Drosophila melanogaster: one gene and its partners. The protein of the gene in region 4 interacts with the protein of the main gene of each other region in a pairwise test. Each region holds a gene or a part of one and is shown on either strand. Other genes may lie near its edges. The genes, in order: cerv, sel, Sdhaf3 and boca.

Region 1 (7,951 bases), on a different chromosome or scaffold from region 4:
GTTCTCGAGGAGTGCATTGTGGCGAATGACTTCATGTTCAACGAGGAGGACAACGCGGAGCAGGAGGCCAATGACCGCGAAGGGCTGCAGCATGACGATTCCTACCCGTACGTCGGTGGCTACCAGAGCGTTGACTCTGTCAAGGAACTGGTCGGCGATCTGCTGGACACCGAGGAGTTCTGTGACGAATCCAAGTACATGATAGAATAGTATTACTACCGGGACAACTCACCGCACCACTAAGGGGCTGTCTCCACACAAGGATGGCCCCAAACTTCCCCACCCCGTACCATTTAGACAACCAGGCTAAGAAGCGTAGCTCTAAGAAATCGGTGTAAATAAAATGGAGATATTCGGATAGAAAGCTTATGAAATATTGGCTATTTTTTATGGAAAGTGGCTTTAAATAGAACATATATAGTAATGTGAATGGAATATTACTTAATGCGAATATTATTTGGGGAGCAATTGCGAAGAACCTTACAAACCCACAATAAGTAGTTAACAATGTGCATTTATATTCTAGCTACTTTAAAGGGATTTATTGTTTAACAATTCATTAGAAGAAATGAAAAGTTAATACATGTTTATTATATTGGTAAGTTATGCTTTATGCTTATATTACCTTAAACAATCTGAGGCCTTTGAATCTTTAGAAAAAATGATAAGGTAATAAATGTTTATTAGTTTAGTAACTTAAGCTGTTATATTACTTTAAACAAATTGAGGACTTTGATTCTTTAGAAGAAATTATACGATTGTAAATGTTTATTATTTTATGCTATTATATTACATTAAACAACTTGAGGACTTTGATTCTTTAGAAGAAATGATAAGGTAATAAATGCTTATTATTTCACTACCTTATGCTGTTATATTACTTTAAACAAATTGAGGACTTTGATTCTTTAGAAGAAATTATACGATTGTAAATGTTTATTATTTTATGCTATTATATTACATTAAACAACTTGAGGACTTTGATTCTTTAGAAGAAATGATAAGGTAATAAATGCTTATTATTTCACTACCTTATGCTGTTATATTACTTTAAACAAATTGAGGACTTTGAAGACATGTTTAAATAAAAATTGGTATACGTGAACTGCGAATAGCGAAATGCAAGAGCCACACGCATGTATCCGAAACTAAAGTCAGCATTTCGCAAAACAAATCAACTTTATTTGAAGGCTACCATTGAAAAATCTAGACTTCTTTACTCTTCAGCTTATTTTCAAGCACGTACTTAAGTTTAACTTTCAGCAACCGCACCAAACCAAGAAACAATAAAAAACGAAATTGTTTCTAAGCAAACTGTGTAAACAAAAGCACGGAGAGATGCTGTTTAGAGCGAATAAATGCCACGAGATCGAATTTTTGGCCATCCAGAACAACTGTGCAAACCAGGCACAGTGAACAACCAGTAAGAGAGACGTTTGAATTTTATCTAGTTTATTACAGTAATCGGTTTAGTCAAGTTAGTTAGGAAACACGCGAATGTGGCGTGCTTTTTTTGTGACCAGCCAGGTAGGGGTATAATTGTTCTAGGATGGTTCGTTCACGGCAGCCAGTGGACACTGTGCCGACGCGTACCGAACGTGGCCACGTTCTTGAACCGGTTTTGGCGGATCGCTCCGGCGGGGTCAACGTTTCGCCCTTTGGCGGACAACACCGGGACATTAACATAATTCATATTGATATAGTTGGTGTACAAAAAATTTCTAAATATATATATATAAATGTATCAAAATTTAGACGGTATGGGGATGCCGAGGGCGAGGAATTTGGGATCGGTTTTACAACACGCACACAACAGACTTTTAGATGGAACAATGAAACTTGAACATCGCAGAGCAGCGGCTAATCCTCAAAGGTGATGCGGCCGGGTCCGTGGTTCTTCATGTATCGCCTGTACGCCTTGTATCGTGGATTCTCCGCCAGCTTCTTTTTCATCTCCTCTTCCTGTTCTGCCTTCCAGGCGACGAAGTTCTCGCGCTTCCACAGCTTCAGATGCAGGTACTCCTCGATCAGCTTGTCCTCCTGCGCCTCGAACTGATGCTGGCCCATGCCCAGGTGCCGGCGGATGAGGTAGAGCTTCTGCTCGCGGCCATACGGCTGCTTCATTACCGTGTAGCGCCAGAACCACTGAGCGTGCCACACGATGAACGAGAGTATCGTGTAGGGGCAGATGATCAGCTGCACCCACAGCACATCCCAGAGTGTCGGCTTCGCATAGCCGCCCTTAACGTCCATCTTCTCCTCGATCACCCGCCGGATGATCCGTTCCAGCTCATCGCGCTGATCGTTCTTGGACATACGATTCTTGCCCTTCTTCTGGATCTTTTCCTGGATCTCGTCGCGAGCTATTTCCAGGGCCTGGTTCCTATACTTGGGCACCGTGGCAAAGTACTTGATGGCAGAATCGTAGCGCTGCCAGCCGGAATAGTACTGGATGACGGACACAATGGTTAGGACGACCACGATAACCACGCGCACATCCACCTTGGGCGCCACGCGTCGCCGGTAGTAGCGATAGTAATGCGCATAGTATGCATCCGGGTTGTCCAGCATGTAATCGTAGTCCGTGCGCGACTCCTCATCGCGCAGGATCTCGTAGGCGGTGGCCACCAGCTTAAACTGCGTCTCCGCCGCCGCCTTGGCCTCGGCACCCCGATGCAGATCTGGATGATAGCGCCTCGCCAGCTGGCGGTATGCTTTGCCGATCTCCGACTTGGACGACTCTCTGGTGACGCCCAGCACGTCGTAACAGTTTTCCTTGCCACAGTACAGGCCCTCTAGCAGGCCCAGGGCCATCGTGGGCAGCAGGGCCAAGAGCACCAACCGTAGTCCGTGCGTCCGCATCTTGGATAGCGCTTTCACCCTGGGGACACGTGTAGCTGCAGCTGGGGCGCACAGCTGGCACTCGTTGGCTGGGATCGGATCGGAGCGGATTGGTTGTGACTTGGATTGGTCCGCAGCAACTGGTGGCAGTGGCGGTCGCGCTGGCGCTGCTCGTCCGTCTGCTCGGCGTTTGGCACACTGAAAAGTTGGCCGCCGCTCGTTATCCAGGTTGACATTGGCCGATAACACCGATAACCGCGATAGCTCGCGGGTGGATAAGACCGTATGTTGGGGATATGGTCACTCTAAGTTAACTCATTTTACATTTTATTTTAGAGTCGCTAATTTGACGCACATTTATTTTACTTAAATTTCAGGCATAAAATCCATGCTTATACACCACGATTATTAACAGTTCGCCAAATACCGATTACACCCTCGTTAGGCTGCCTATCGAACTTATCGGTCCTAGCTGAACCTAGCTAAGCGTCAGTCTTGAACATTTGGATCCAAATATTCTGGATTTGCAATTTGCAAAGCGTCTGCATAGAATCTGGGCTTTAAAATGGACTTCAATTACCATGTGGATTCGGCACTTACCACTTTATTGGAAAACCAAAAGTTCTTCAAAGAAATGGCAGAAGGTAAGCCATGCGACACACTGAGACATCTTTAAAACCTACCCACAGTCGTGTCCGATTTCAGTGATGGCAGGGAGATCCAGAAGTTGTTGGACCAGAACGTGGATCTCGCCGAGAATCTCATCCGAATGAAGAGCAAGCACCAATTGCTCAGCAAGGCTATGAAGCATGCCAAAAACTCTAGCAACACCATCGAGAAGTTCGAGGAAGTCTGGAAGGAGCGCTCCGAAGCGGTGGAGCAGAAGCGCATCGATGTCAAGAACTCAGCCGAGTTCAAAAACTTCATGAAAGCGGCAGCTCCCCAGGCGGGTGCGGAAACAAATGGTCAAGCGAATAGCGCCGCCCATGACGAGGACCTTATCATGGAAGCCACCGGCGGCGAGGTCTTCTCGCTCTACGATCCCTGGTCCAAAGCCTTGATAAAGAACCCCGTGCGCAACAAAAAGTGCGGCCACATCTACGACCGCGACTCGGTGATGCTGATCATCACGGACAACATTGGTATTCGATGCCCAGTGCTCGGCTGTCCCAACAGGTCCTACATCCATCCAGCGCACCTGGTCAAGGACTCCAACCTACAGCAGAAGTTGCAAGAGCGCATGTCTGACGCGATCGAGAAAGAAACTTCCTCGGAGGAGGACGATGAACAGGCAGATCATTAATTATGCGCAACTTCCTTCTTGTCGACTAATAACGCAGCGTAAGATATCACGTTCTTGTAAGACAACCATTTGATGAAAATTTAAGGTACAACGAATAAACATGTTTTAAAAATAGTCCCGAAAAAATTTAGAGAAAATATATTAGAAGTGCAGTATGCACGTATGTATATAGTTTGCGATTTATTTAGAAAATTGGTACAAATGTAGAAACAAATGAATATATAGCACGATTGCCATCGAAATCATCGCCGAAACATTCTAGCGAGTCTTTGCCGCAGACGATCCACATCAGACTCATATGGCACCAATGGCACCTTGTCATTATCCGGATCGCTACTATCTTCAGAGGAGATCCAGACTGATTTACCATTGCTAAGCTTCGGCTCTGAATCCCCGCAAGCCATGGGGTCCTTCAGCATGGCTGCTTCCTCATTGTTTTTGGTTTTTTGCCGGAAAAAGCTTCCGGCATGGGTGCCTTGGTCAATGGGCCAGCTGTTGGCGACTTGCGCTGGAAATCTCTACAAATAACGAAGAATCTATCGGGAGCGGTGAACGGAATAATGAAATCGGTGAGCTCTATGAAGAATCGTAGGACTTCATTGTTTCGTTTAGAAAACCTATCAACTTGTATGCGTAAAGCATTTTCTTGAAATGGTCATCTTAAAAATGCTGTGCTTTGCAAATAGTTAAGTATTATCCGCTCGGATATGTGAATCAACTGAGGTCCTCACGCCAAATTATAAATGTGACTTGTAGACTGCAAAGTCATCGCCTTCTTTTTTGAGTTCTTGACACAAGCAAAAAGGGTTGCCATGGCGTTGTCATGCCCTTGGAGATAAAACCTCTAGACTCAAATATTCTTATTATGTTCCGCTGACATAATAAGTATTAGTGTTTTTATTTCATAATAAATTATGCAATTTACAGCATCGGAAATTGGTAGCTTCAGTATAATATTATCAAATATATTCAGTTTTATACCCGTTACTCGTGAAAGGGTATAGTAGATTTGTTAAAAAGTATGTAACTGGCAGAAGAAAGCGTTTCCGACCATATAAAGTATATATATTCTTGATCAGGAACAATAGCCGAGTCGATCTGATCATGTCCGTATGAACGCCGAAATCTGAGGAACTATAAAAGCTAGAAGGTTGAGATTAACCATACAGATTCTAGAGACATAGACGCAGCGCATGCCCATATTGCCACGCCCACTCTAATGCCCACAACCCAACAAAATAAAATAAATAAAAAACTTCCCCATGTTCAAAATTCTACCGATCCGCCATCTGCACTAACTGACCGACGCTAACTCACCTACGCTAACTTGACGCACATCACGATTATTAACGGTTCTCAAAAGAACGATTACACCCTCGATAGGCTGCCTGTCGAAATTATCGGTCCTAGCTTAACCGAAGCGTCAGTCTTGACATTTCGATCTAAATATTCTGGATTTGCAATTTGAAAAGCGTCTGAATAAAATTTATGATCAAAATGGACCCGAAATCCCACCAAAAGCTCTTCAGGGAAATGGCAGAAGGTGAGCCATGTGACAAACCGAGACATCTTTAACATCTTTAAAACACACCCACCCACAGTCGTGTCCAATTCCAGCGATGACGGGGAGAAGTTGCTAACCAAAAACTCTAGCAACACCATCGAGAAGTCCGAGGAAGTCTGCAAGGAGCGCCCCGAAGCTGTGGAGCAGATGCGCATCGATGTCAATAACTCACTTGAGGACACGAACTACATGAATGCGGTGGAATCAGAAGCTCAAAAGAATATCGCCGGCCTTGATGAGGACCTTATCATGGAAGACTTCGGCGTCGAGGTCGTCCCGTTCCACGATCCCTGGTCCAAGCTCCTGATAAAGCACCCCGTGCGCAACAAAAGGTGCGGTCATATCTACGACCGCGAAACGGTTTTAATGATCATCAAGGACAACATTGGCATCCTATGCCCGGTGCGCGACTGTCCCAACTTGTCCGACATCAAGTTAGAGCACCTGGTCAAGGACCCCGACGTGGAGCAGGAGTTGCAAAAGCGCAAGTCCGACAAGATCAAGAATGAAACTTCCTCGGATGAGGACTAAGAACAGGCAGGTCATTAATTATATATAAAAAGCGCCTTTAAACTTTAGATTTTAATATGACTTCAAGTCTTGTTGAGAATTAACTTTATAAATAAAAAACACTCCTTTGGAATTTTTTGATACTTTTTTATACCCGTTGTAAAGTTAAAGGCTATACTAGAATTGTTGAAGTGTATGTAACAGGAAGATGGAAACGTTTCCGACCATATGAAGTATATATATTCTTGATTAGGATCAATAGCCGAGTCGATCTTTTCATGTCCGTATGAGCGCCAAAATTTCAGGAATTATAAAAGCTAGAAGGTTGAGATTCACCATACAGATTCTAAAATTAAAATTAAATTAAATTTATTAAATTTCGCTTTCGCATTCACACTAGCCGAGTAACGGGGAATTTGACTATATCATTCTCTCTTGTTGTATATTGCAATCAACTTTTCAATAGTGAGTTAAGCGATATGTCTGTTATTCAGTAGTGACTTAAGCGATATCACTGTTGTGCATATTTGTCCATCTCTAACACTAATGTTTTGGTAAACAAGAAGAACCAAATTAGACATGAGCTACATACAATTTGAAAGCGGCAGAGAAAAGGATAAGGCGCGCCAGGAGCTCCGGGAGGCCCGGGAGGCGATGCTGCAGCAGGCCAAGGAGCGGGCGGAACTGCGTGGGCAGCGGGAGAGGCAGAAGGAGCTGCGCGGCGAAGCCGACTGGATGCTGCCCGCGTTGGCCAAGAAACTGGAGAAGCCCGCCAAAAAGTCAAAGAAGAATGTTTCCAAGCACAAGTCCAGGTCCAAGTCCAAGTCATCGAAGAAGAGCAGGAAGCACCGCAACAGCAGCAGTAGCAGCGAAAGTTCCACTTCATCTTCCTCCTCGTTCAGTGAGGATGAAAAGGAGCGCAAGCGACGCAAGAAGAAGTCCAAGAGGAGCCGTAAGGAAAGCGCCAGCGAGGACGAGTGGGTGGAGGCTCCTCCGCCTCTCGCGGCGGACAATGTCACTAAGAAGGAGCCCCCTCAGCGGGACGACTGGATGACCAGCGAGTCTCTCCTTCTGAAGACGTTCTCCAGGGAACGCAAGGAGCCAGCGAAGCCCAACGAGAAGGCCCAACAAATTGATGCCTACGATCCGGCCAAGAGTGGCCGTGAGCTCAATCCCTACTGGAAGAGCAATGGCACGGGTCTGCCCGGTTTCCAGAAGCCACAGGACGACGATGAACGGCAGGCCAAGCCGCATTCCAGCAGCTCCGCACAGGGATCCTCACGCGGTTGGCGAAAACCAGGCGCAAAGGCTCCCAGTCCGCCCAGAAGAAGCAGATCCCGCTCCAAAAGTGCCACATCATCTGATGAGGAGGAGGAGGAGGCGGTGCAGCAGCCCAAGTCCAGACCATCCTGCCTCACAGACGAACAGATCAATGAGCTGGCCGGCAAGGCCATCAAGGCAGAGCTCAAAGGAAAGAAAGAACTGGCGGCGGAACTCAATCAGCAATTGGAGGCCGCACGGAAGGAGCGAGCAGAGTTCATTGCCTCCGGCGAGTCAGTGCGGAATGCAAATACCAGGCCAGCCAAGTCCAAGGCCTCAGCAGAGCACGTGCTGCTCACCAAGGTGGACCAGAGCGGCAACGTGCGTCCGCTGGTGCAGTCCGGCGATCCGAACGAATCGTACGGTGGCAGGATGGGACCAAAACGCGGCAGCAAGAAAGTGGACACCCACGT
Region 2 (8,391 bases), 2.5 Mb from region 4:
TTAAAAATTTACATTTAAATGGATTGGGATTTGGTTTGAGGTTTGAAAATAGTTATGTAGTGCACCGGGTGCCCAAGTGGTGTATTTGAAGTACCTACGTTGCACCTAATAAATGAACTAGTAAGTACCAGCAATGAAGGAATGACTACGTTTTTCACCAGTACTTATAAAAATATTAAATAAATAAAAACGAAATACTTACGAAGTATTTAAGCCGTATAAATGTTAGTCAAGCGATACCTAGGAAATTCTTATATTACATTTTACAAATTTATTTTTTTTAAATAAAATGTATTTTTTGTGAAGCCAAAGGCAAAGTTAACAGAAACCGCATTAACGTTAACGTAACGTAATCAGCAGAGCTGCACGGCAGCTATCGACCATTTGTCATCTCTATTCTGCGCACCCACTGCGAACTTTATTTTCCTGGAATTATTATCAAATAAGTCAAATTGCGAGATGTTGGGCCGCAGCAGTGTGATTGCACGCAACTTTTCCCAGTCGATGGTTCGCTTTAGCGGACATGGTGGAGTTCCCGGAGAGGTGAGTCCCTAAAAATGGGCCCATTGCGGGTTACATAATTTGCACGACTCGCATAGGATTGGGAGGAAAATCAATTCTAACACCGGAAAACACCTCATTCTCATGCAGAATCTTCCCTTCGGGCTGACGAACAAGTACCGCATCACCGCCCTGTTCACCATCGGCTGTGTCTTGGGCTTCGGATCGCCCTTCCTGATCGTCAGGCACCAACTGCTCAAGAAGTAAGGGGCTCCCCTGGCGACAGCAACAACAAATGTAAGGTTAGTTTATTGGTTATATTCGGTTTGCATTTTAATATAAATATTCACTTTTCAGATGTAGCGTTATCTGCTGAGTTGGCCGGCAGGCCATTACAGTGTGTTACAGCTTAAATTTAAGTAAAAAGTGGAAACGAAATAAAGTTACCCGTGACCGTAGAACCGATTGGTGGATGTTTTCTTTAAAAGCTGGCAAGACGGCTTATGTGGAACAACAGTTTGTTTGGTATTGGCACTTGTAAATGCATCCACGCTTATTTTTAAAGCTTTTAGTATCAATATCTTGTGGCTAAACTATGGAAACTGTGCTCGCAAATAACATGGACTTGGTAGAACGACGTCAGAAACCGATGTACACGCAAAGTTGCCAACTGGAAGGAATATTTCTAGTAATGGTGAAGTTTTAAGGGTTCCCTTAAGTAGGCTTGCCTATAAAGATATATGTCAGGAAATTTTTCGAAAAGCCAGTAACTTTCATTCGTTCGCTAGAAATCTGGGAGTAACTTCTCACTCGCAAGCAATCAAATAATTTCTTATTCCCGTCTCAACAAACGGATTAAAATTTACTCATGTGGCCCACACTTCGTAAACCCATTGGCAAGTTTAGCGGGCCGCTGATGCGTTATGGGAGTGGATATCCAGGCGGCTCTCCTGGGGCGGTAGTTAATCCAAGGTCAACACGCAGCTAACCATTCTAAGAACTTACAATTTCCCTCACAGAACTTACCCTTTGGCTTGGATAGTCCAATGCGTTTCACACTATTTTACCTAATTGCGGGAGTCGTGGGCTTTGGGGCTCCGTTCCTAGTTATTCGCCATCAGATGCTTCGTAATGTAACCAATGATCCGTAAGTAATCCGAGTAATCCAATAAAATCGTATCGTTATTAATGTTTGCTTTACAGCAAGGATGAGTAATCCCAAAATGACATAGAACACTCGTTAATAAATTAATAAAAATACATTGCACATGGAATTTATTGTCGTACATAATTTGTAACACTTGGCATGGTTTTCTTTACATTAGCTAAACATAATTTTCGTTCGAAATATCAGTACAAAGACCTCCACTGGCGGCGATCAAGGAAATTCGTTAATTAACTAAGCTTTCACTGGGACAAACTACAGTTCCTCTTTGCCATCAAAGTCATACTCCTCCTGGACCGGCGATTCGTCGCAGTAGCTCGCTTGTTCTGAGCAGATCTTGATGTCTAAATCGTTTCCGAGCTCTTCGGCCTGGAAGGCTTTAACGAAGATCTCATCGTTGTCCTCCAGTACTTCGTTGCAGAAGTGCCCCAGGCTTTTGTTGAGATCACCATCTTGCACAAAGTCAACCAACGAGGAGTCTGGGTTCATCTGACCATTGATGATCATCTTGAGGAGTGTGAATTTCCCGTTGCTCTTGTAGGTTGCCTTCAAGTAGTCGTCCATTTTTTCGCCTTAGAACGGGAAAATATTAGGAATGATAAGCAAAGTGTTATCATTAATAGAATACCACATATAACTATCTTCATTGATAAACAATAGCTACGCTCGAAGGTAAAACTTTTGACTAACGTCAAATGTTTTAAGATTAGACTGGTCTTTATCAAGCCTCTATGCTATTCCGTACCATATGGTAATAATTACTTACAGATCTTCTCCATCAGTTCGGTAAGGAACATTTCAGATTTCACTAGGCGAACTTTCTTGCTGATCGAATTTCCCTGTGCGTCCAGCCGGAATCCACTGACATCGGCCATCTTGTGGGGGTCCTCCTTGGCAATGGCCTCCTCCAGTTCCGTAACCACGGCCTTGCACACTGTAATTTATGGAACCTCAATTATCCGGGCTCCCAGGGCCAGCCAACAAGTGCACTGCCGCCTGTTGCTGGCGCGCTGTTATGTGTGGATTCTCCTTACCGTGACACTTGACCTCGCGGGAGGTGAAGCTGTAACCTTGGGCCAAGGCCAGCAGGCCGAACAGGATAAGCGCCTTCGTCAGCATCTTTTTAATTGATTGTTTAATAGTTTAACGCGTGGAAACTAATTGCATTAACCACGTCAGCAGAAGCGCCTTCCGTTTAAAAGTGCGGCGTTGATAAAGACGTGTGCTGTATTTACGACGACTTAAGAGCGACGTGGTTCTTGATGCTCTGCAGCGATAAGTGAAGAATTCTACTTAATTTATGCCCAAGATGTGGTGACGAGGGACGCGGTCAGTGGGTCTGGGTCAGCGTTCACAAGAATTGTGGTAAACGTTTTAAAGAAACCTTATTGATAATACCCGGCTATCGATAGAACTTTTCTAGCTAACGCCAGTTTTGGCTATCAAATATTTTTAAGGTGACCATCTCTACCTATTTTAAGCTAAAAATGAAATATGTGTACTTGTCGTTAAGAGATTTAATTTGATGATTCACATAAAATGATGTCGTTTAACATTTGTAAATCGTTTGAACAAAAAAAATATCGATAGTCAAGTGCGCGCGTTAATTCAAATCTTGATCGTAGCACGATGCACGTTGAAATGTTTAAGTTTGGGGGAGAGCTGCATTATATACATATGTGCATCTCAATTCTCGTATTCTCTTAGCTCTAGATCGAAAACTTATGTACATTAGCCGATGTGCTACTATATAGTGAGCCGATAACTGAAGAGTCAGTGCAAATGGAGAATCGCTCGCGAGTGGTTGCTCTGTTTTCGGATCGAGATGTGAGGACGAGGGGTTCGCGTAATTAACCGGCAAAGCGTTTGTAAATTAAAAGAAACCCACAAGTCGGCCGCGTTCCTCGATTTCTACATACTCTTATTAACCATTATAATTGGCGTTAATTAAGTGTCGTGTTTCTCTCTCGGCGCGTGTTTCTCTTCCCTATTCCCCTTGTTCGCTTGCACTGATGATCATTTTTCTTGGCGTCTGTTTGTTTGCTCGGTTAATTGATAAGAACGAATTGTAGTCGTCGGACTTGCCGTATTTATAGAGCAATGCCGCAAAAGAAACGGAAATGCAATGCAAATTGTTGCTATACCTTTTAGCGTAGGTTCAATTTTTTGACCCTGCCAAACGGAAAGTGGCATTCGCGGGCTACGAGATAAGCGATCGATGATAATTTATTCAGCTATGAATGAGTTCGAGAAGCACCGCAATCTTAAATAGAAAACACATAGATTTAATGTGGATTTTATTTAAAAATATATAGAAAAATATATATCTCCTTATTAAAATCAAGTGCAACGGCACAAACCTTTAACACAAACACCTTTAAAGCCCTTCTTCGAACAGAGGGAATTGCACCGCTCAATGCAGGACTGTCGCCTTGGGCGGACATGTTCCTTCGCATCCTGGATAAGACTCCTTTGAAGCTCCTTTTGCAGAAGTCTATTCTCGGAATCCTTCGGAATAGATCGAACCTGCATTAAGCAAACCGCAACTAGAGTTAGCGCCAGAATAATCGTGATCTTCATGTTGTGATATGAAATCGAGAACTGTTCCAGCTCGTTCAGGTTGCATTCGTGTTTTATAGTAAATTGAAAGGCTGCCGGTTTATGATAATGAGTATTTTTGTCGTAAGAATAGAAAATATTATTGTTTCTTTTCAAAGTTATGCGGAATAAAGTATATGCGAAAGCTGTTTCCGTTTGTTGCTCAGTTAGAAACTGACTAATTATGCCGTTATATGACATTGTATGTTTGGAAACTACAGCAAAAGCTTTATGTAACCAAATTATATTAAAGTACAACGCAAACAATCGATGGGAGAAATTATACAAATTTAAAAAGAATTTCAAATTTGTATTGCTTTTTTAAGTAAAGTTTACTGAGCTTAATATTTCTTTATTAAAATCTGCCTTGAATCGCCATGAAGACCAATAACTGCTCCCGTTAAGAGCTTTTTTAAACAAAGTAAATATATACGTATATATTTGGTATATATAGATCGTGCTCCTCGGGACCTCAATTTTTTTTTTAGCTCGATTAGGTTTAGTTAACTTATATGGTAAGTCGCTAACGCTAATGACCGATATTTTGTTGTACGAATTGGTAATGATAAACGCAGATTATTTTCACAGACTAAGACTAAGGAACATACACAAGGAATAATTAAGTCGTTCTTCTATGACTTTGAAAGTTATAAAGCCAAAGAAATATAAAATATTTTGAAAATTTTCTGTGATCAATATTTATTATTAAAATAGTAGCTTAACTATTAAGAAATTTTTACAGTCCCAGTTCCTTCTTACCAATTATTTCCATAAAAAGTAATTAGTAATAATTACAAATCATTATAATATTTAAATATCTGTCGATTAAAAGGATCCATTTATATATAGAATTTTTCAACGTTTTGTTTTATGTGTGACACTTAAAAAACGAAAATTTTTGGTGTACACAGAGCGAAACGAAATCAATTGCGGCAAACGCAGACGGCCTTGTCGTTGCAGTAGCCGCCTTTGAACCCCTTGGCAATGCAGTGGCCGGCGCAGGCGGTGTGGTTCCAGTTCCACTTGGAGAGTAGGTCGCATGTGGCTCGCTTCTGGCGGCTATGCTGCAGCACCTCCTGGTGGGCATCCTCATGCACCAGGACATGATCCTCTGGAATTGGATCCACATCGGAAACTGGCTGAGCCTGCGCCACGCAAGCAAGCAGAGCAAAAGCGATAGCCACGAGAACGAAGAACTTCATCTTGGAATACAACTGGAGAGATACTGTTGTTGCAGATTGTGGTTTCGCCGAGCTTATATAGCAATGCGACGGGCTGATCGATTCGGCCCAGGGACTCCCACCCGGTGACTTACCTTCCCATTGTCTCTTTTTCTGTGCAGGAAGACACGTCTCGGGGGTTTTTAATTTTTAAGTTCACTGCAAATGGGAGAAACCGTTGTCTAGATCATTATTTCATGTGCTTTGCCTGGAAAATATTGACAATATTTCATAGATAAGAGCAAAATACAGCCGACAGAGCCCGTTTCTGCAATAAGTTATTTGCATTTCTAGGGATTTTAACTGCCTTAAATTTTAGGCAGTAAAGTATATTCCACATGACAAGTTAATTGTAAAAAGCAACATCTACGAAATTAACCATTTCAAATTGTTTAGGCCTTACTTGAGAAAGAATCTTTGGTTTGCGAAATATGCAGGATATTTGTATATATGCAACGTTGATAAAAGCCTAAGTAAATATGTGCCCTTTAGTAGCATCCAATTTCGATTTTATTACTCCCAAACTGTTGAAATTAGCTGATGTAGGGGAATCCATATTTAATCATCTGAATTTCTAGCTAACTGACCGATTGGGTGCCACTTTAAGGGCTATACTCACAGCTACACAGCTACACAGTTGGCTCAAGCAACTGAGATACTCGGTTACGGATACATAAACACATGCGACAATAAATAATTTCTACCGAAAAGTCTCTTCATAATGCCGGGCAAATAAACAAACAAGAATCACACAATGATTAGTTGGGCATACAGCGGCAGGGGCGGGTGTACTTGTATCTGAATCCGTATCTGCGCGTACGTGTATCTATATCTGTATCGGCATCTGCATCTGGTTCTCAGCCCAGTCGCGCTGAGCCGACAATCCCGATCGAATCCCACGACCGAGGCTTTTTCAGTTGCCCTGCTCCTTGGCTGGCCGTTGCCTGTTTACCTTTGTTATCGACCAGGTTGTCTTGTCTTGCATTTTGGCGTCATACTGTCTGCCAGTCCACTCCACTTGAGTTTCTACCCCGCCCCTTACAACCGTCTACAGTCTAGAGTGTTGCCCGCATGCCCATCTTCACACGAGGAGAAAATATCGAATCTTTTGCGTTTCCACAGAGAGTCTTTAATATCAATACATGAGGATTTTTTTGTAATATGTAAAGGCTTATAGATAGGTGTACGCATCAGAACTGCATATGTACATCCCAAAATCCAAATCTATAGATCCCTCAATATTGTAGAAGATTTGGAGTTAGCTAGAGTTGCTACTTCTGGACGAAGGTACTATTTACAAGTACAGGTATATTTTCCCCAGTGCATGCTCGATCATCGAAGAAGACCACAAAACGGAGTGTGGCACAGCCGAAAACAAAGTGACGGCAGGAACGGGGGTGTTCGGGGTGTTGGGGTATATCAAGTAGTGGGCAAGAGGGGGCAGTTATCGCCGCCGTCAGACTGTCTGGCAGGTTTCACACCGAATCGAAGACGGAGACCGGCAACTCCACTTCGTCTCCGCCTCCGCCTCCTCCATCCACCTAAAATCCTCTCCAGGCGAACTCCTTGGCCAGCGGCTCTATAAATCACAGGAGCGGGGCCCTCGACGGCTCACGTTTTCCCCTGACCGCCTGCCCCTACCCCGACGTCCCTGCGCCCCTTGCCCCTGGCCCCTCCCCCGCTGGCTGAGCAGCTGGTGCAACTGTTGGCCGCTTTGTTTTAGAGGTTTTTTGTTGCTTTTGTTGGTGAGGCAACCTCTTGAGATGCACAAGGAAAGATAAATTTCACACGCATACACAAGTGCTGCTCTCTGTCTGCTGGTGTGTGAATGTGATCGTTTTTATGCTGCTACAGTAGAACATCCCTAAGTTATAAATTCATACATAAAATGCTGTTTTAATGCTGGTTTAGTTTTAGTGTACTAATAATGGGGTAGTGATAGTTAATTAGTCGTTCAAGCACACGTTTGGAATTACAGTCACAATATCTTCGTTCGGTACCGTTGACCTATGGTTTAACTGAGAGAGGCTCCACTGTGCTGTCCGTCCAGCCTCCACAAGTCGGAGTGTGGCAAAGATAAGATATTGGAAGCGACACGCCAGACACTCTGGCGGCGGCGATGTCCCTCGCTCTCTCCGCCGATCTCTCAGCTCGATTCCGATTCCGATTCCGAATCCGATTCTTCGCCCACTCTCACCTGGGGCCTCTCTCTTGCGTTTTGGGCCACTCCACTCCAAGGCAAATGGCCAGTCGTGTGTGGAACTCGGCTGCGATCGGTTGACTATTGAAGTGCGCTCTGCAGATTCGTTGTGATCCGTGCTCCTCGCTCCTCGCTTCCTGAACATTTTCGGACGGTTTTCCAATCGAAACGAACCAAAAATCGCACACATTAAGACGCATTATATAAACAGAAGATCCACAACACCTTAATGCACACGCACACACCTCTCTCACTATAAATAGACCACGGTAATCGGTAAATAAATAAATCGGAGAGCGGCAAAGTAAAAGTTCTAGGAAGAAAATCTAATTGCGACTTTGCGAAAAAGATGGTGAAATAAACGAAAAACTTTGATTATAATGAGAGAATCGTACTTGATGCAATAAACACGCGTATCAAACCAATCCCCCATCCTCCGAAGCACAGTAACAGTTAATTGACGAATTCGAACTGCTAAGTGAAATGTTGGCGAGATGTGTTTTGTTCGTCACTTGGCTGGCGGTTTTCATTGCGACTGGAAAAAGTGACGATCAGTTGGTAAGTTTACTTTCGAAAAATTGTTAACAAAATATTCCCCGAACAAACCAAAGTGAATTGGGTTAATCATGTGCAGTAAAATGTTTGCTGAATTTATACAGTTACTCATATTTAAGTTACAATATTACATTTTGAATAGAAGGTGTTAA
Region 3 (7,550 bases), on a different chromosome or scaffold from region 4:
AAAAATAGGAAACAGATTTCACGCATAAGAACAGCGACTGAATACAATTTAATTTTCACTCTAAGTAGTTACTCAAGACTATATCAGCGCAAGACTTTTTTATGTAGCATCCTAGCCTACTACCAATCACTTAAGTTGTGTACGAGTTTGTTGGCCTAATCCCTGACCCAACGCAACGAAATTGTCCTAAATCCTCCGGGGTACGAACACAGTTTACCTAATTACCAGCTCAGAGCGATGGAAAAACTTTGGCTAACCACACCCCTAAATATGTGACTGCCAACTTTGTTTCGTTACAGGATAAACTTTTACGAAGGCAATTTCGACGATAGGCAGGACTTCACAGGACCAAGGACATTCACATCCTGCCCCATCATGTACGGAATGCTGTACGAGAGCGTGCAGCACTATATCCAGCAGGAGTATGGCATGGAGACCTGGCGAAAGGTCTGCCAGATTGTCGACTGCAAGCATCAGAGCTTCAAGACACATCAGATCTATCCGGACAAGCTGATGCCGGACTTTGCGGCAGCCCTGTCCGCCAGCACGGGCGAGTCCTTCGACTTCTGCATGAACTTCTTCGGGCGCTGTTTTGTGCGATTCTTCAGCAACTTCGGCTACGACAAGATGATCCGCTCCACAGGGCGATACTTCTGCGACTTCCTGCAGTCCATCGACAACATTCACGTGCAGATGCGTTTCACCTATCCCAAGATGAAGTCGCCCAGCATGCAGTTGACCAACATGGATGACGATGGGGCTGTGATCCTGTACCGCAGCGGCCGAACTGGCATGTCCAAGTACCTGATTGGCCAGATGACCGAGGTGGCCAAGGAGTTCTACGGCCTAGACATGACTGCCTATGTCCTGGAGAGCCAAAATGACATATGCGGTGGCACAGCCGGTCCCATCAAGCTTACGGAGGGTCCTCTGACCGTGATTGTCAAGTATCGGCTGGACTTCGATAATCGCGATTATATGGCCAAGCGGGTCAATGTCATCGCGCATCCTTCGCAGCTGAAGATGCCGTCGGTGGACCTGAATGTGTTCCTCGAGCTGTTTCCCTTCACCATTGTGCTGGATCACGACATGAAAATCACACTTGCGGGCGAGAAGATTGTCGAGACGTGGATTCTGCATAATCCTGGAGTGAACCCAAAGACCTTTATTGGCAGTCACATATTGGAGCGGTTCAAGTGCCGTCGTCCCAAGGACACTCAGATCCAATGGGAGACCATTCTGCAAATGCGTACAGTTCTCTTCGAGTTTGAGCTCATCCGTACGGGTCACAATCGTGCCGCCTATGATGCGGCCTTGAACTTTGACTTTGAAAACTTTGATGAAGCCAGCAGCCTGAACGAGGCGCAGGCCATGGCTTTGGCCAGTGCCAAGGAGTTTAGTGCGGAGAACGCCAAGGAAGAGGCAGCAGCGGCAGCCACCTCCAAGGACGAAATCGATCCCGCCACGGGACAGAGACGCCATTCGGTGGGCCTCCGATCTATCCTGTTGAAGGGACAAATGTTCTATATCAAAGATGTGGACTCGCTGATCTTCCTGTGCAGTCCTCTAATCGAAAATCTCGATGAGCTGCATGGAATCGGTCTCTATTTGAACGATCTTAATCCGCATGGACTGAGTAGAGAGCTTGTGATGGCGGGATGGCAGCACTGCTCCAAGCTGGAGATAATGTTTGAGAAGGAGGAGCAGCGATCGGATGAGCTGGAAAAGTCGCTGGAACTGGCAGATTCCTGGAAGCGGCAGGGAGATGAGCTACTGTATTCCATGATACCGCGACCCATTGCCGAGCGAATGAGAAAGAGCGAGGAGCACGTGTGTCAGAGTTTCGAGGAGGTATCCGTCATTTTCATCGAGGTAATGAATATCTATGACAGTGGGTCCAACAACATCCAGGATGCCATGCAGGCGGTGACCACCTTAAACAAAGTGTTTTCGGCATTGGACGAAGAGATCATTTCCCCGTTTGTTTACAAAGTGGAGACCGTGGGCATGGTTTACATGGCTGTTTCGGGTGCTCCTGATGTGAATCCCCTGCATGCCGAACACGCCTGCGATTTGGCCTTAAGGGTGATGAAGAAGGTCAAAGCCCATGCTCTTCCCGGGGTGGCTATACGGGTGGGCATTAACTCGGGACCCGTCGTCGCCGGCGTGGTTGGGATGAAGGTTCCTCGATACTGTCTCTTTGGAGACACCGTTAACACCGCCTCGCGAATGGAGAGCAGCAGCGATCCCTGGATGATCCAGCTGTCCAACTATACTGCGCTGAAGGTGCAAAAGGTGGGCTATAAGGTTGAAGCGCGGGGATTTGTCAAGGTCAAGGGCAAGGGCGAGATGGAGACCTACTGGCTTTTGGAGGGACCAGAGTAGAACTGGAGACTTGTTTGTCTTGGAAAATCCAGGAATATCACCACTATGGTATTGAAATATAAAAAACATATTTTGAGACAGAAAATCTTGTAACCCTTTGGAAATAATCAGGCTCGAAAACCTCTTATATCTAATGTATCTAATAACTTTTTGGTAATAGTTAACGAACTTTTAATCCCCTGTAAAGTATATGTGGATCACTATAAAAATAAATTCAAGACACATTGTATCTAGAAATATTGTTTTCGTGGGAGTGGCGCGAAACCAACCTGAAATCTGACTAAGATCTTCATAAGCGTGTTTCGATAATAGGTAAGTAATCGAAGCTATCGAAATCGGTTCCAGCATTGCCTTGATCAGCTGTTTGAATTTTATAGCTTGGAAGATAATTTTCAAGCTTATGCTTTCTCAGTAAGGATTAAGGATGCTTCGATTCAATTTAATCGTGGCAGTTTGCGAGAATTTCGGAATCGGCATCAGAGGCGATCTACCATGGCGCATTAAGTAAGTTGGTAACAAGGATTGAACCGCAGCTAAAGCTTTTGTACCATCAGATCTGAGCTGAAGTACTTCAGCCGCACCACCAAGCGAACAAGTGATCCCACCAAGCAAAATGCCGTGGTAATGGGCAGGAAAACCTACTTCGGAGTGCCGGAAAGCAAGAGGCCTCTTCCCGATCGGCTGAACATAGTGCTGAGCACCACACTTCAGGAAAGTGATCTGCCCAAGGGAGTACTATTGTGCCCCAATCTCGAGACGGCCATGAAGATCCTTGAGGAGCAGAACGAAGTGGAGAACATTTGGATTGTGGGCGGTAGTGGAGTCTACGAGGAGGCCATGGCCTCGCCAAGGTGTCACCGGCTGTACATTACCAAAATAATGCAGAAGTTCGATTGCGACACCTTTTTCCCCGCGATCCCTGACAGCTTTCGAGAGGTCGCGCCCGATTCCGACATGCCACTGGGTGTGCAGGAGGAGAATGGCATTAAATTCGAGTACAAGATTTTGGAGAAACACTCATAATAAAATAATACACTGATTTATTTGCCTTGCGCATCTTCTACTCCCTTGGCCGCCAGCATCAGCTCGTATAGTTGGACTACTTGGTCGTCTTTCAACATTTCTACAGTCTTGGGGTCAATCTCTTCGCCCAGCTCTCCCTTGGGCTTGCCCCGAATCCCTAGTTGTTGGGTGATTGTGGACGCATATCGCTGCAATGGAAGATTTGCTTAGTATGGCGCCTTTTTGTTTATTACGTAAAACTTACGGCCCACTCTGTCATAAAGAGCTGTGCCTCCATGGGATTGCACTTGAGGTGTCGCCGGAACTCGTCCCGCACATAGTTATCGCCCAGAGCACGAAGTTCCGCTGGAAGTCCTACGGAGTACAGAAGTTTAGTTGAAATGCATGCAATTTATAGTAATAGGGAATTTTTCATCTTACCTCTGTGCAGTCGCAAGATCGTTTTGTACAGCAGTCGGACCCTCTGAGGGTGGGTCAGTTGGCTCATCAAAATTCTGGACATCCTGAGTTCATATCATATAACATACTAATACTATACTATTTAGCAGCCGGCTAAAAACTAAATACGAGCGAATAACAACTGTTTTGTCGCAGCCAGTGTTGGCTAACGTCAAATTGAGTTGGCAGGTGGCAACGTATTAAAAGTTTGGCGCGCATTTGAATTGTCACCTTTAAAAGTTCAATGCTATTTTCATATTATATTTAAGTTAGGCACTTCGAATTGAACCACACTTCCGCAAACCAAATAATGTAAAAAGAAAATGTTTTTTTCAAATGGTTTTTTTTTATCAATCCCCAAGCGATTTCAAGCATTTTAAAACTGCAGGTCTTTTTATATAATGATTTATTTGTGGCATGGTTTGTATATATATAATCATCACATGTGCAGTGTAGGTTCAATCTGTCGTGGATTCATCCCTTGGGGGTAAATTATAAATAAAAGAACATCTCGTATGGAAAATGAGCTCTGTTTCAGAAAACAAACCAATAAATGACATACACACACGCTCTGCACCAACTTTGGCTAACTATTGCACGCCTTTCTCTCACTACTATACGCCTAATTACACCAAGCACCAAACAGAAGGTGGCGGAGGGTACACAACATTGTTGTCATCGTCGTCGTTTTGAACAGAAGAACGTTTTAACAATCAAGTTTTCTAGTTTTGCTATTGCGGCGCGGCAGCAACAGGCGCCGCTCGATTCGCTGGCTCCTCATCCTGTCCATCAGCCGCAATCTCTTCCGGTAGCAGGGGCTGACCCTCTCCGCCCCAAGGAAATCCGCCAGGTCGATCCTCAGCAGCCGCCTGGAAGTTGCGTTCGATGTGCTCATTGAAGAGACGTTTCCTAAGGACAACAAGTCGTTATTGCAAAAGTTATATCCCAATTCAAAGTAAACTCACAAAAAGTAGGGGGTTTTGATCAGTCTGTAGCCGTTGGACAGTGTAGGATAGACGTCCTCCAGCACGTAGTAGATGTGGCCAACACCCATGCCGATGACATCCACCCACACGGTGTTTCCCAGAATCATGGAGCAGCAGAGGAGCACCCACGGAAGGTACGGCGCCTGGAAGTTAAGCACCCCGAAGAAATTCATTGGCACCAGTGGATTGCGTCGTGACCACACATAGACCAGCATTAATGTGAAGGCCTGGCCCAGGAACAACAGGTTGACGAAGATTCCGAAGAAGGTCATTAGCACGCCGCCAAAGATGAACATCATGACAAAGTCGGAGCTGCGTCCGCGGAAAGATCCGTCCTCCAACATTCGACAATATCGATATGTAAACACCATATTGAAAAAGAAACTGATGCCTATTGTGCCAAAGTACAGGAATGTGGTGGCCAAGCGCCAGATCTGGAACTTGCGCACAATCAGCGTGGGATTGAAGTAGAGCTGCAGCGGCGACACCAGGTCCAGGTGCTTAAAAGTTGGCAAAAAATATAATCGAAGATAATACACGTACACGTCATCCGCGATTTAGAACGCACTACGGGATACACTTACCACCGCCAAGGTGGTCAGCACGCAGACCGTGGTGTAGGCTCGTGTGACCACCGGGATCTCCAGGTAGAACTGCCGCAGGGCATTCATGGCGGCTCCTCCTCCAACGTTGGACTCAAAGTGTGCAGCTTGGCAAGTGGGTTGCGATTGTATCCTTTGGACTCTTCGCTTCTTCACTGTTTATTCACCTACAACCAGCGGCGGACTATCTCTTTTTGGTAGTCCTCTCACCGGATGTTGTGCACTCCAGGATTGAGACGTGTTAATGGATAGGGAACAGCGCTCGGGCGATGGAAAATAAATGGAACGCTAGCTTTTATTTTTATGACCAAGGTTAGTGATGGTACAAATACTAGTGACACTGGCGCCAGATATCGATAAGCCGTAATCGTGACACGAAACTTTAAATTAATTTTATTTATGTGGTTAACAGAAGGAAGAACTTAAGATTGTGTCGTCTATCGAAGAGTAGTTCATCCAATATTTGAATGGAAATAATATTTATAATAACAGATAAGTTCAATATGATTTTCACTTTGAAATCCATAAGCTACTATATGATCAGAATGAATTTCTATACTATTATATATTGTATTTCCATATCTTCAATGGGTTTATACTTAAACTGGAAATTAATCAAATTTTCTTTTGAGTTTTTCTACTGCTCAATTGATTTTCCCGGATTTCAAATATATCACTTTCTTTTTCAGAGTTGGGGGCTATATTAATTGTAACATCTCTCAAATTTATTGCACTTGTTTCTTAATATCTAAAGTCTATTCTAGGTTGACTACACTAAAAATTGCACTGCGTTTTGTCTAGCTAAAAAATGAACTAAAACAATGAATTAGATTTGCTAAATTCGAGCGGGCGGCGAAAGGACTGCTCCAGGTTGTGCAGCCGCTGCTCCAGGTCATTCATCGAGTTGCGGAGGGCGTGGCCCCGGGGACGCAGTGAAATCTGCGGTGACTGCTGCATGAGGTCGTCCTTGACCCCGGAGAAGGAGTGGCGCACGCAGGAGCGCTTCTCGAACCGCGTGTTCTGGTAGTGGGGATGGTGACTGGGGTGCTGCTGGTGCTGGCGGTGCTCACAATTGGCACTGCGACAGTTATGCGCCACCAGTGGCTCGTCCGTCTTCAGAGAGTCCTCATAGGTGTCACTGTTGCAATGAGATTTCAAATGTTAAGAAGGCAATCCGAAATAAAGCACACTCTTCTACCCACCTGCTGTCCGTATTTGGCTGGCGCAGCTCCAAGTGGGCCTTCGCATGTCTGGGGCATAAAACTTCCGTGTTGTTGCCGCGCTTAGAGCCTCCGTGCTGAAAGGAATCCGGCGAGGTCTCGTACAGCTCGCGGCTGCTCAGGAACTCCACACCAGAGTCCTGGCCCGTCGAGTGAAGTGAGAACAGCGAGGTTTCGTAATTGTTACTGTTGTGATGATAGGTTGCAGTTTAGTATGTTAAGTCTAGTTCATAACAATTGTGCCAAATTTGAAACCATATTAAATATAATCTATAGACTTACAGATTGTTAACGGGCTGACAGGCATTGTACTTCAGTACGAACGGAGTGCTCCCGACGCCCACAGCTCCATCGCCCCCACTCGTCACCGCCGCAGCCTTGGCAATGGACTTGGGAAGAGGAACGTCTATGTACTCGCGCTTTTGCTGTCGCTGTTGCCTGTTTCGGGGATGATGGCAATTAGTGTCCAGAATGGAAACACGTTTGACTAGACGCGGTCTTGACCACGGCCATTCACTCACTCGTTCAGGTACTGATGATGCTGCTGCTGTGTGGCCATCGCCTGCTGCTGGTGGTGATGGTGCAGCTGCTGCTCCAGTTTCTCGGTGGCGGTGGCCGTAGACTGCGTTTGGGCCGAGGAGCAGACGGACTCGGGCATGAAGGCACTGGTGGGTCGTTGGCTGCCCGTGCTGCCCTTGCTACAGCGCTGTGTGTGCCGCTGCTGCCGCTGACGGCGCTGCTTCTGGCCACGAGGAGATCCGATGCCAGCGATGGTATAGGTGAGACCGGCATCGGAGGCGGAGAAATCACGCTGAGACCAGAGACGTCTGCAAGAGACACGGGAAGAATTTGTAGTAGTTTTAGACGGCTCATATCAATCGTTTAAATCATCATTA
Region 4 (7,698 bases):
ACCAGTTACCTTGATTTCTCTCATGCCAGCAATAATGCTGATGGCTTCGGCAGCTGGCCGTTGGGTGATCAACGCGGTGGCCATAGAAAAGTTAAGAAGGACCAGCGACGGCAGCTCATGGAAGTCCTTCGTTGCCGCGGAACTATTACGCTCATCCTTGTAAAGGCCGACCTCTAAGGCTATCAGTTTAAAGTTCATCCTGATGGCCTCGTAGCTCTCTGGAAGGTCTGTGGGCTTGGCGTTCTCTTGGTAACCAATAGCTCTGTACATCTTCTCTTTCTCTTCACTGGTCATTGCCGCTTCAAACTTCTCAACTGAAAATTTAAATTGAAAGATCGCTCTTCTGTAAAATAATTAAATACCTACCAAGTTTTTGACTGGTGGTTTGGTCATCCTTCTTGGCTCCGCCGCCCCATCCCCAACCACTGAACCAGCCCGACTTTTGTTCAGGCACTGCCTCTCGTTGCTTGGCTATCTCGATGTTGACCCTCTGCCGGATTAGCAGCAAGTTAAAAACGTCCAGCTCCGTTTCTAGCAAACGGCAGGTTTCCGTAAGCACGGCTGACGGTTTTTTGCTTAAGCACTGCTCCTTGTATTTCTAAAACGTAAAATGTGCACTGTGGATACTGTAGTTTCTTTAGTTAAGACATTCCACACACCTGTGCATAAGTGTTGCAGCGTTCTCTGTGGGTCTTGATGTGTCCCCAAGTCCAGCTCTCTCTGGGTTTCCTTACTTCCTCCTCTAGAATAGAAGTTATTGCAAAGTGCCACCAGTCCCTGGCGTGGCCTTTGTATGCTAAAAAAAATAATACATCAATTTATGGTTAATAACTACTGAAAAAAATCAGAGTCTGATCAATACTTACGTATATTGTAGGGACGATATTTCCGGTACGGTATGCCCAACTGCTGGCGGTTCATAGCGTCTCCAAGCTTCATGAGATTGTCGAACTGTGTGTTTGTCAAGCCGACATTAAGCTTTTCCATTTCCAGCGTAAGATCGATTTTAGGTTTTTCAAATGGCGGATCATCGAGCTCCGGGTTCATGTTTAGCTTTAGCTTGGCATTGCAAGAGATAGGACCCAGCACTATAACCGCAAGGAAACGTTTTAGGTGTTTCTCGTACAGAATTATAAAATATTACCATAGTTGTAGTTGGGTTTTGTTTCCTTGCAAGCAATATTCGTCTTGAACTGCTGTGAAAGGTCGCTCTTGTTGTTCGCGTACAGTTGTCCACCACAGTTCAAATAGGCGGAAAGACATGAGAGATTCGCTATTTTGAAGACCTGCGACGCCTGCTGGGCCATGTAGCACTTCTCCCAGTCGCAATCGGTGGTGTAAAGTTCGAGCTCATGCAGGGATATGCCGAAGGAGAAGGGACTACCCGTCGTTGTGGTATCCTCGTATCGCAGATGAACGTTGGTTATCTGCACCTGCAGATTGTTAACGATCTGCGCCGTTAGCTTTTCGGCAAATCCTGCATCTGCTTTGGGCTGATCTGTGAATGAGTATAATATATATATATATATTTCGATTCATTCAAAGAATGGAAAAGAAGATTCGCTTACCCATTTCCAACTCCTTTTTGCGAGCTGCCTCCAGGGCATCAAGCGCCGCCTTCTTGAGGTCCATCTCATATTTGGCCTCCTTTTCGGCGTTGTACTGGACATTGTTGTTGGGTGAAACTAAGACATAAAGATCCTCAATGTTGACAATTACCGGCTGGCTGTACAAATTCTTCCAGGGGATCTTAAGCACTAGTTTGCCTGCAAATTTATTAAATTCACAGTGTATGAGTATCCAATTCAGTTGGAAACTAATGCTTTACATACCCAAGTAACCATAGATAAGCTGTACGGGCAGGTCCAACTCGTCCAGGGCATTCTCCCGTATCTTGAGGTTCTGCAAGACGACATCGCCTGCCAAACAAAGACAGAATTTGCTTTCATTAGTCTTATCAGTCGCAGTAATCAGTCATTTGCAAAAGTGGGAGCGAATGCCTATTAATTAATTACGGGTTAATTACATAGGGAGAGCGCTATAGCTACATTTATATATGACTAAGGCTTTGCAAAGTGTTAAGTACGCAAATGGAAAAAGCAGCGGGCGCACCAATATGTCAATACTGTTTACCAATGTCTGGCATTTTGGGCATGCGGCATTTATAGTTGTTAAGTGTTTGTTATGCTTGGAATGCAAAATGGGCAGCACAATTGGTGAATATACTATACATTGAATTACGCTTGTGTGTCAATAGTTTAACGACCAAGCGACCCCATTAAAGTTATCCAACATTTGAGGCCAGTCGAATCGCACTGATAGGAACATGTTTGGCCTTACTTTACAAACTTCATATCTGGCCAATAATCATAATTCTGCAAGTGGTGTTCAATTATCGACATTAAATACAAGAGTATTAATTATAAGTTACTCTGATAACAGTGTTGTAACAACTGATTAAATTAGATTGCTTCAATAAACAAGAAGAGTTATTCACCTGATTGCATTTTACAATATATGTACATATAACACGCTTGACTTGTAAATTGCAAAATGAAAACAAATATGAATCATTGGGCAAATAATATAATATAAATAATATACCCTGCATAGAAGCAATATATACACACATATTCCATTGACTTAACTAGGTCATTTTTGATTAGTTAAGCTAATCAGTTTTATTCAAAATATTTAGGTATTGTAGAGAAAATATCATTTTATAGCATATATTCATTCATTTCTAACGAAGCATAAGCCCGGTCTTTCTTACTTCAAGCATATTTGAATGAAATACTCTTATATAAGTTTAAAACAAAATGCTAATTAACATGAATTTATGAACGCAAGGCATTATGTCACCAAGTTCAAGATCAGCCGAATTAAAACAGGCTTGTCGCCGAACGTCACTCTTTGAACAAACCCGTTTACTGGGTTTGTCGCAAACTTGTCTTCGTGAAGTGGAATTTACAACCCACTTAACATGAAGTGAAGTGAGTACATTCAGATAAAAGACCGAAGAATTGTTTATGTTTCACACAGAAACCCTATACAAGTAGATTTGTAAATAAAAGATATAAAGGCAGAGACTAAATGAGCTCATGGAGAGCCAAGAGAAACCACAAGAATTGCTCTATCGCACAGCAAGATGCAACAGTTGTCCCACCCCTCGAAGTCTGAATGCTCCTCCGTCTTTTCTCTTTCTCAGAAGAATTCATTGGGTTCGCATGAACTTGCGAATACGGCTCACTTAGAAGCGACGAAATTAGGTCATTAATAGTATTTTGCCAAGGATAAGGTCACCGCCATCATTGTTTTTTCTGGGCACTTGCGTGCAAATAGACCAATAAACAATGGGTACCGCAGTAAGGCGATGTTTTTGCGTGAGGGTGGAGCAGAATGGTGTCATCCTCTCCGGGGAACTGGAACTCACCTCCCCAAATGCCAATCTTCAGCTGGTTCCGGTCCAAGTTCTCGATGTAGTCGCCGAGCACCTTGTTCAGCACATCGGCCACCACCGCCTCGAAGACCATTGTGTCCTAGCAGATGCTCCTATTGATTTTCCTCCAAGTTTGTGGTTGTTATTCCAATTGATGTGGTCGTGGTGAGTGCTTCAAACAATCTGGCGTTCGCTGTGCGGTCTATAGTTGATCTAAAATACATGCATATGTAAACACAGAAACCAAACAGATGGAACGGAGAGACGGATTAAAACACAATGTCGATGATGTCATCGTTGAACGCATTTCAAATATTTTGGCACAATCCGCCAGGCCCATTGTTCCAAAATAAACTAACAAGCCAAACGATTGTCCAGGGTCAGCTGGAGTAGGGCTGGTGCGATTAACTCACTACTCCACTCCAGAGCACGTGTGCAACGCCCGTTCTTATCTCTATTTACTGCACCCAATTACCAGCGGCATTTCCACGCGACAAAAAAGTAGTAACTCCGTGCGATGCGCGTTCTTTAAATGCTCGCCCGAAACTAACAGCTGTTGTGTTTTCCGTTTGCGTTCTCCACCTGGGGACGCTCAATCAGCTGTTCGGTCGCGTTCCCGGGCGAATGGCAAACTGTTAGGTGACGTGTTTGACCGTGCGAATTGCTGAGCTATAGGAAAAATATTTATAAAACACCATGCAAACACGTCTTGTTTTGCTGCTGCTAGCTCTGACCCCGCTCGTCCTGGCCAAGAAGTTCAAGGAGGAGGAGAAACCGGCGTGGGCCAAAAAGGATATACGCGACTACAGCGAGGCGGACCTCGAGCGTCTGCTAGATCAATGGGAGGTAGGTAACAACACTGCGATTGGAAAGCGACACATCGGACCCAACTCTCCAGATTCGCACCTAGCAAGGGAGTAATGCCAACCCTTTAGATTCCCACCTATCTAAGGATTCATCATTTGTAGAGACGGATAACTGATACCCCTTCTTTTAATCTTCTCTTAGGAAGATGAAGAGCCCCTCGAGGATGATGAGCTGCCCGAGCACCTGCGCCCCCAGCCCAAGCTGGACCTGAGCAATCTGGACAGCAAGAGCCCCGAGGACCTGCTCAAGGTGTCCAAAAAGGGGCGCACGCTGATGACCTTCGTTTCGGTGACCGGTAATCCAACCCGGGAGGAGAGCGACACCATCACCAAGCTCTGGCAGACAAGCCTCTGGAACAACCACATCCAGGCGGAGCGCTACATGGTTGACGATAACCGCGCCATCTTCCTCTTCAAGGACGGCACACAAGCCTGGGACGCCAAGGACTTCCTCATCGAGCAGGAACGCTGCAAGGGCGTAACCATCGAGAACAAGGAGTACCCAGGTGTCAATGCGAAAAAGGACGAACTGTAGGCCGGTTCCACGGCATACCAGCACATCAAAACATTCTCACTATTTAAGATCAAAGTTCAATTAAAATAAAACAAATTTATTAAACAAACTTATTAAAGAAGCTACATATGTATTTTGCTTGGCCATTCACAGGGAAACGGCTCCGTTTGCGGGATGGAATAAATATGGATAAAAATATGAATATTTCAATAAACATATTTTGAATATAATATTTGTATCTCTATTAGATTGTTTATATACACTGCGTATGTGTCAAATCAAAAACAAAATAAATGAAAAATTTAAGCAAAACTCTAAATTAATCGCTGACCAACTACACAACTCACGGTGCCATCGGCAAAGTTATCGTATCGCCTTTCAAATGTTTCGAGCTCCAGCTCCCCTCTGTGTGACCTTAAGTCAACAAGACGCCACCCGCGAACCGCGACGTGCTCTACTTGCTCCGCCTGTTGAGTAGCTGTTCCACCAAGAAGATGCCCGTCCAAGCCAAGATCGGTCCCAGCATTCTCAATGCGGATCTCTCCAACCTAGCGGCGGAGTCACAGAAACTACTGGACAATGGAGCGGACTACCTGCATCTGGACGTGATGGACGGCACTTTTGTGCCGAATCTCACCTTTGGTCACCCCATGGTCAAGAGCTTGCGCAACAAGATCAAGGTAAGTCTGCAGTCATCTGAGCCAGATATTCAATTACCTATGCCACAACCCCATATAGACGGCCTTTTTCGAGACGCACATGATGGTCCAGAATCCGGAGCAGTGGATAGAGCCCATGGCCGATGCCGGTGTCAATCTCTACACCTTCCACGTCGAACCGGTGCAGGATGTCGTCAGAGTCAGTCGCCGAGTGCAGGAGTCGGGCATGAAGGTGGGCCTGGCCATTAAGCCGGGCACCGAGGTAGGTTGAGGTTAGGGTTATATCACTTTTGATACTTGATACCTCCTATGTATGTTGTATAGCCACAGCTTGTTGCTTATTTGTTTGAAATTATTTATAGATTTGATATTTCCACTAGATCTTGTCCCAAGCTAGGTCTGAAGTTCCTTACAATTTTGAAAATATCCAACGAGTAACCACCTGTTGCACTTACCTTTTAGGTACAAGATCTGGAGAAGTACTTGAGCATTGCCGACGTTGTGCTGGTGATGACCGTGGAACCCGGTTTTGGCGGACAATCCTTCATGGCCGATATGATGCCGAAGGTCAAGTGGCTGCGCGAAAACTACCCCAACCTGGACATCGAGGTGGACGGAGGTGTGGGACCCAAGACTATACACTGCTGTGCCGAGGCCGGAGCCAACATGATCGTCTCGGGAACCGCCGTGGTGGGCGCCTCCGATCAGTCGCAGGTCATCAAGGAGTTGCGCGATGTGGTGCACAGCTACCTCAAATAGAGATTCATTTACCAGCTAGCTTAAGAAAGAATTTTTTAGATAGGCGAAATGTTTTGACCAAATTGCATTGCAAGTAATGGGGAAAATTCCTCGGGAAATGGTACCATTAAAAGAAACTTACAACCGTATGTGGTTTTATACATTTATTTTTTAACATTTATATAATATATGTTTGTAGGTATATATCATGTTTGGTATGACATGTTGCTTTTAGCATTTAGTTGGTTATACGTGTGTCTGCGTGTACTTTATGTAGTTACATTTAGTTTACTGCACTTTCCCAGTTATTGTCGGACATTGGCCAAATGCCGGCTTTATTGTCATGGTTTTGGTACTCTCTGAGTTTTCAAAAATAAATGTTCAACAATATTGTTCGATTTGCGTCAAAACTTCAAGATCTGAATGTAAAACTTTTCATAAATTCTCAATGCCTCCGATGCGCTTGTCTAGCTCACAGGAAAACAAATTCAGTTTGTCTTTATTGTCAAAGGTTGTTATTGTAAATTCTTCACAAAGTTCCGTCTGTGCATAGATAACAAGTGCTTTTCATCAAATTATCATCTTTAAACATTTACATATAATATTCTGATACGTGAGTACATATACTATGCTTCATCTTTATAATGCGCGACACATGTAAATTCAACTAGTTTGTTTATCAGCTTCTGGTTTTTGGATTTTGCTACATTTTACACATAACTTTTCGCTACAAATTCTTGTGTTCTTTGTTTAATAGGGCCTGTTCTTATGTACTTTGTGTAGTGTGTCCCTCCATGCACATGGAGCATGCGAAACTGAATCGAATCCTTGGGGACGATCCCCGTTAAGCGCAGAATTTCAACTAGGATGTGGGGCTTGTGCGATTCTGAGTTTGAGTGTCAACTGTTTGCGTATTGTACTTAGTAATTATCTATTCTGCAGTTCATGCCACGTGTAAATTATTTCACTCACTCCGATCGCCAATGCTAAGCATTTTACATCTACAATATATATAATATATGGGTTGTATTCGATTTAGACTAAATGTACATAAAGCTAAGCGTTTTGATAGTAGCCTGGAGCATGGGGTGTATAAAAATAGCTCGCCATGATCCGAATGATCGTAAATGCACAAGGAGAGTGAACCCCAGAAAACTGAAAGGGTGAAAGGTGTGGTGGCTTACTGTCCAAAGCAACAGCAAAGGAGTCCTGCCTGAGTTCAAGCACAAACTATATCCATCCGATGTGGTCCTGAAGTCGTCAGTGATTTCACGTCAATGCATTTGAAGCTTAGTAGTAAAACCCCTGAGAGTTTCAGGAAAACTCGGGCTTGTGTTCATGCACTGCACGATATTGAAGTAAGCATAGTTTCTATGATATGGGTATATCTTTATAAGTTTGTATTGTCCTGGATCTGTACTCTGTCATTATAGCTAGTATGCTCGATCTACAACAGCCCACAGATTTGTCTCGAGTATAATC

The links.
Region 1: the proteins of boca (region 4) and cerv interact in a two-hybrid assay, tested with the Drosophila melanogaster proteins (one large-scale study listed by BioGRID).
Region 2: the proteins of boca (region 4) and sel interact in a two-hybrid assay, tested with the Drosophila melanogaster proteins (one large-scale study listed by BioGRID).
Region 3: the proteins of boca (region 4) and Sdhaf3 interact in a two-hybrid assay, tested with the Drosophila melanogaster proteins (one large-scale study listed by BioGRID).

Annotation. Positions count from the first base shown.
Region 1 is NC_004354.4:15,573,345-15,581,295, reverse strand, and holds cerv (cervantes), read left to right. Parts: upstream 1-3,124; 5' UTR 3,125-3,406; coding exon 3,407-3,485; intron 3,486-3,530; coding exon 3,531-4,144; 3' UTR 4,145-4,310; downstream 4,311-7,951. Other genes in the region: CG9215 (uncharacterized protein), read left to right, coding at 1-210; CG7872 (uncharacterized protein), read right to left, coding at 1,861-2,862; CG42299 (uncharacterized protein), read left to right, coding at 5,633-5,687, 5,746-6,239; CG9213 (uncharacterized protein), read left to right, coding at 6,798-7,951.
Region 2 is NT_033778.4:10,049,102-10,057,492, forward strand, and holds sel (seele), read right to left. Parts: upstream 3,067-8,391; 5' UTR 2,786-3,066; coding exon 2,701-2,785; intron 2,601-2,700; coding exon 2,433-2,600; intron 2,239-2,432; coding exon 1,922-2,238; 3' UTR 1,761-1,921; downstream 1-1,760. Other genes in the region: COX7C (cytochrome c oxidase subunit 7C), read left to right, coding at 460-543, 652-768; COX7CL (cytochrome c oxidase subunit 7C-like), read left to right, coding at 1,370-1,459, 1,521-1,648, 1,705-1,717; Def (defensin), read right to left, coding at 5,188-5,466; magu, read left to right, coding at 8,168-8,242. UniProt on the Drosophila melanogaster protein: Involved in embryonic dorsal-ventral patterning which is generated by a series of serine protease processing events where gd processes snk which cleaves ea which then processes spz into the activating ligand for the Toll receptor.
Region 3 is NT_033777.3:16,478,452-16,486,001, forward strand, and holds Sdhaf3 (succinate dehydrogenase assembly factor 3), read right to left. Parts: upstream 4,002-7,550; 5' UTR 3,911-4,001; coding exon 3,829-3,910; intron 3,763-3,828; coding exon 3,653-3,762; intron 3,597-3,652; coding exon 3,426-3,596; 3' UTR 3,410-3,425; downstream 1-3,409. Other genes in the region: Gyc89Db (guanylyl cyclase at 89Db), read left to right, coding at 376-2,385; Dhfr (dihydrofolate reductase), read left to right, coding at 2,810-2,889, 2,940-3,408; Der-2 (Derlin-2), read right to left, coding at 4,578-4,755, 4,812-5,332, 5,417-5,503; Cad89D (cadherin 89D), read right to left, coding at 6,248-6,572, 6,637-6,840, 6,937-7,092, 7,176-7,481. UniProt on the Drosophila melanogaster protein: Plays an essential role in the assembly of succinate dehydrogenase (SDH), an enzyme complex (also referred to as respiratory complex II) that is a component of both the tricarboxylic acid (TCA) cycle and the mitochondrial electron transport chain, and which couples the oxidation of succinate to fumarate with the reduction of ubiquinone (coenzyme Q) to ubiquinol.
Region 4 is NT_033778.4:7,563,100-7,570,797, reverse strand, and holds boca (boca), read left to right. Parts: upstream 1-4,059; 5' UTR 4,060-4,135; coding exon 4,136-4,285; intron 4,286-4,447; coding exon 4,448-4,840; 3' UTR 4,841-4,925; downstream 4,926-7,698. Other genes in the region: Vps13 (vacuolar protein sorting 13), read right to left, coding at 1-314, 367-598, 660-796, 867-1,088, 1,145-1,498, 1,569-1,766, 1,833-1,919, 3,434-3,533; Rpe (Ribulose-5-phosphate-3-epimerase), read left to right, coding at 5,314-5,499, 5,558-5,740, 5,941-6,237. UniProt on the Drosophila melanogaster protein: Chaperone specifically assisting the folding of beta-propeller/EGF modules within the family of low-density lipoprotein receptors (LDLRs). Acts as a modulator of the Wg pathway, since some LDLRs are coreceptors for the canonical Wnt pathway.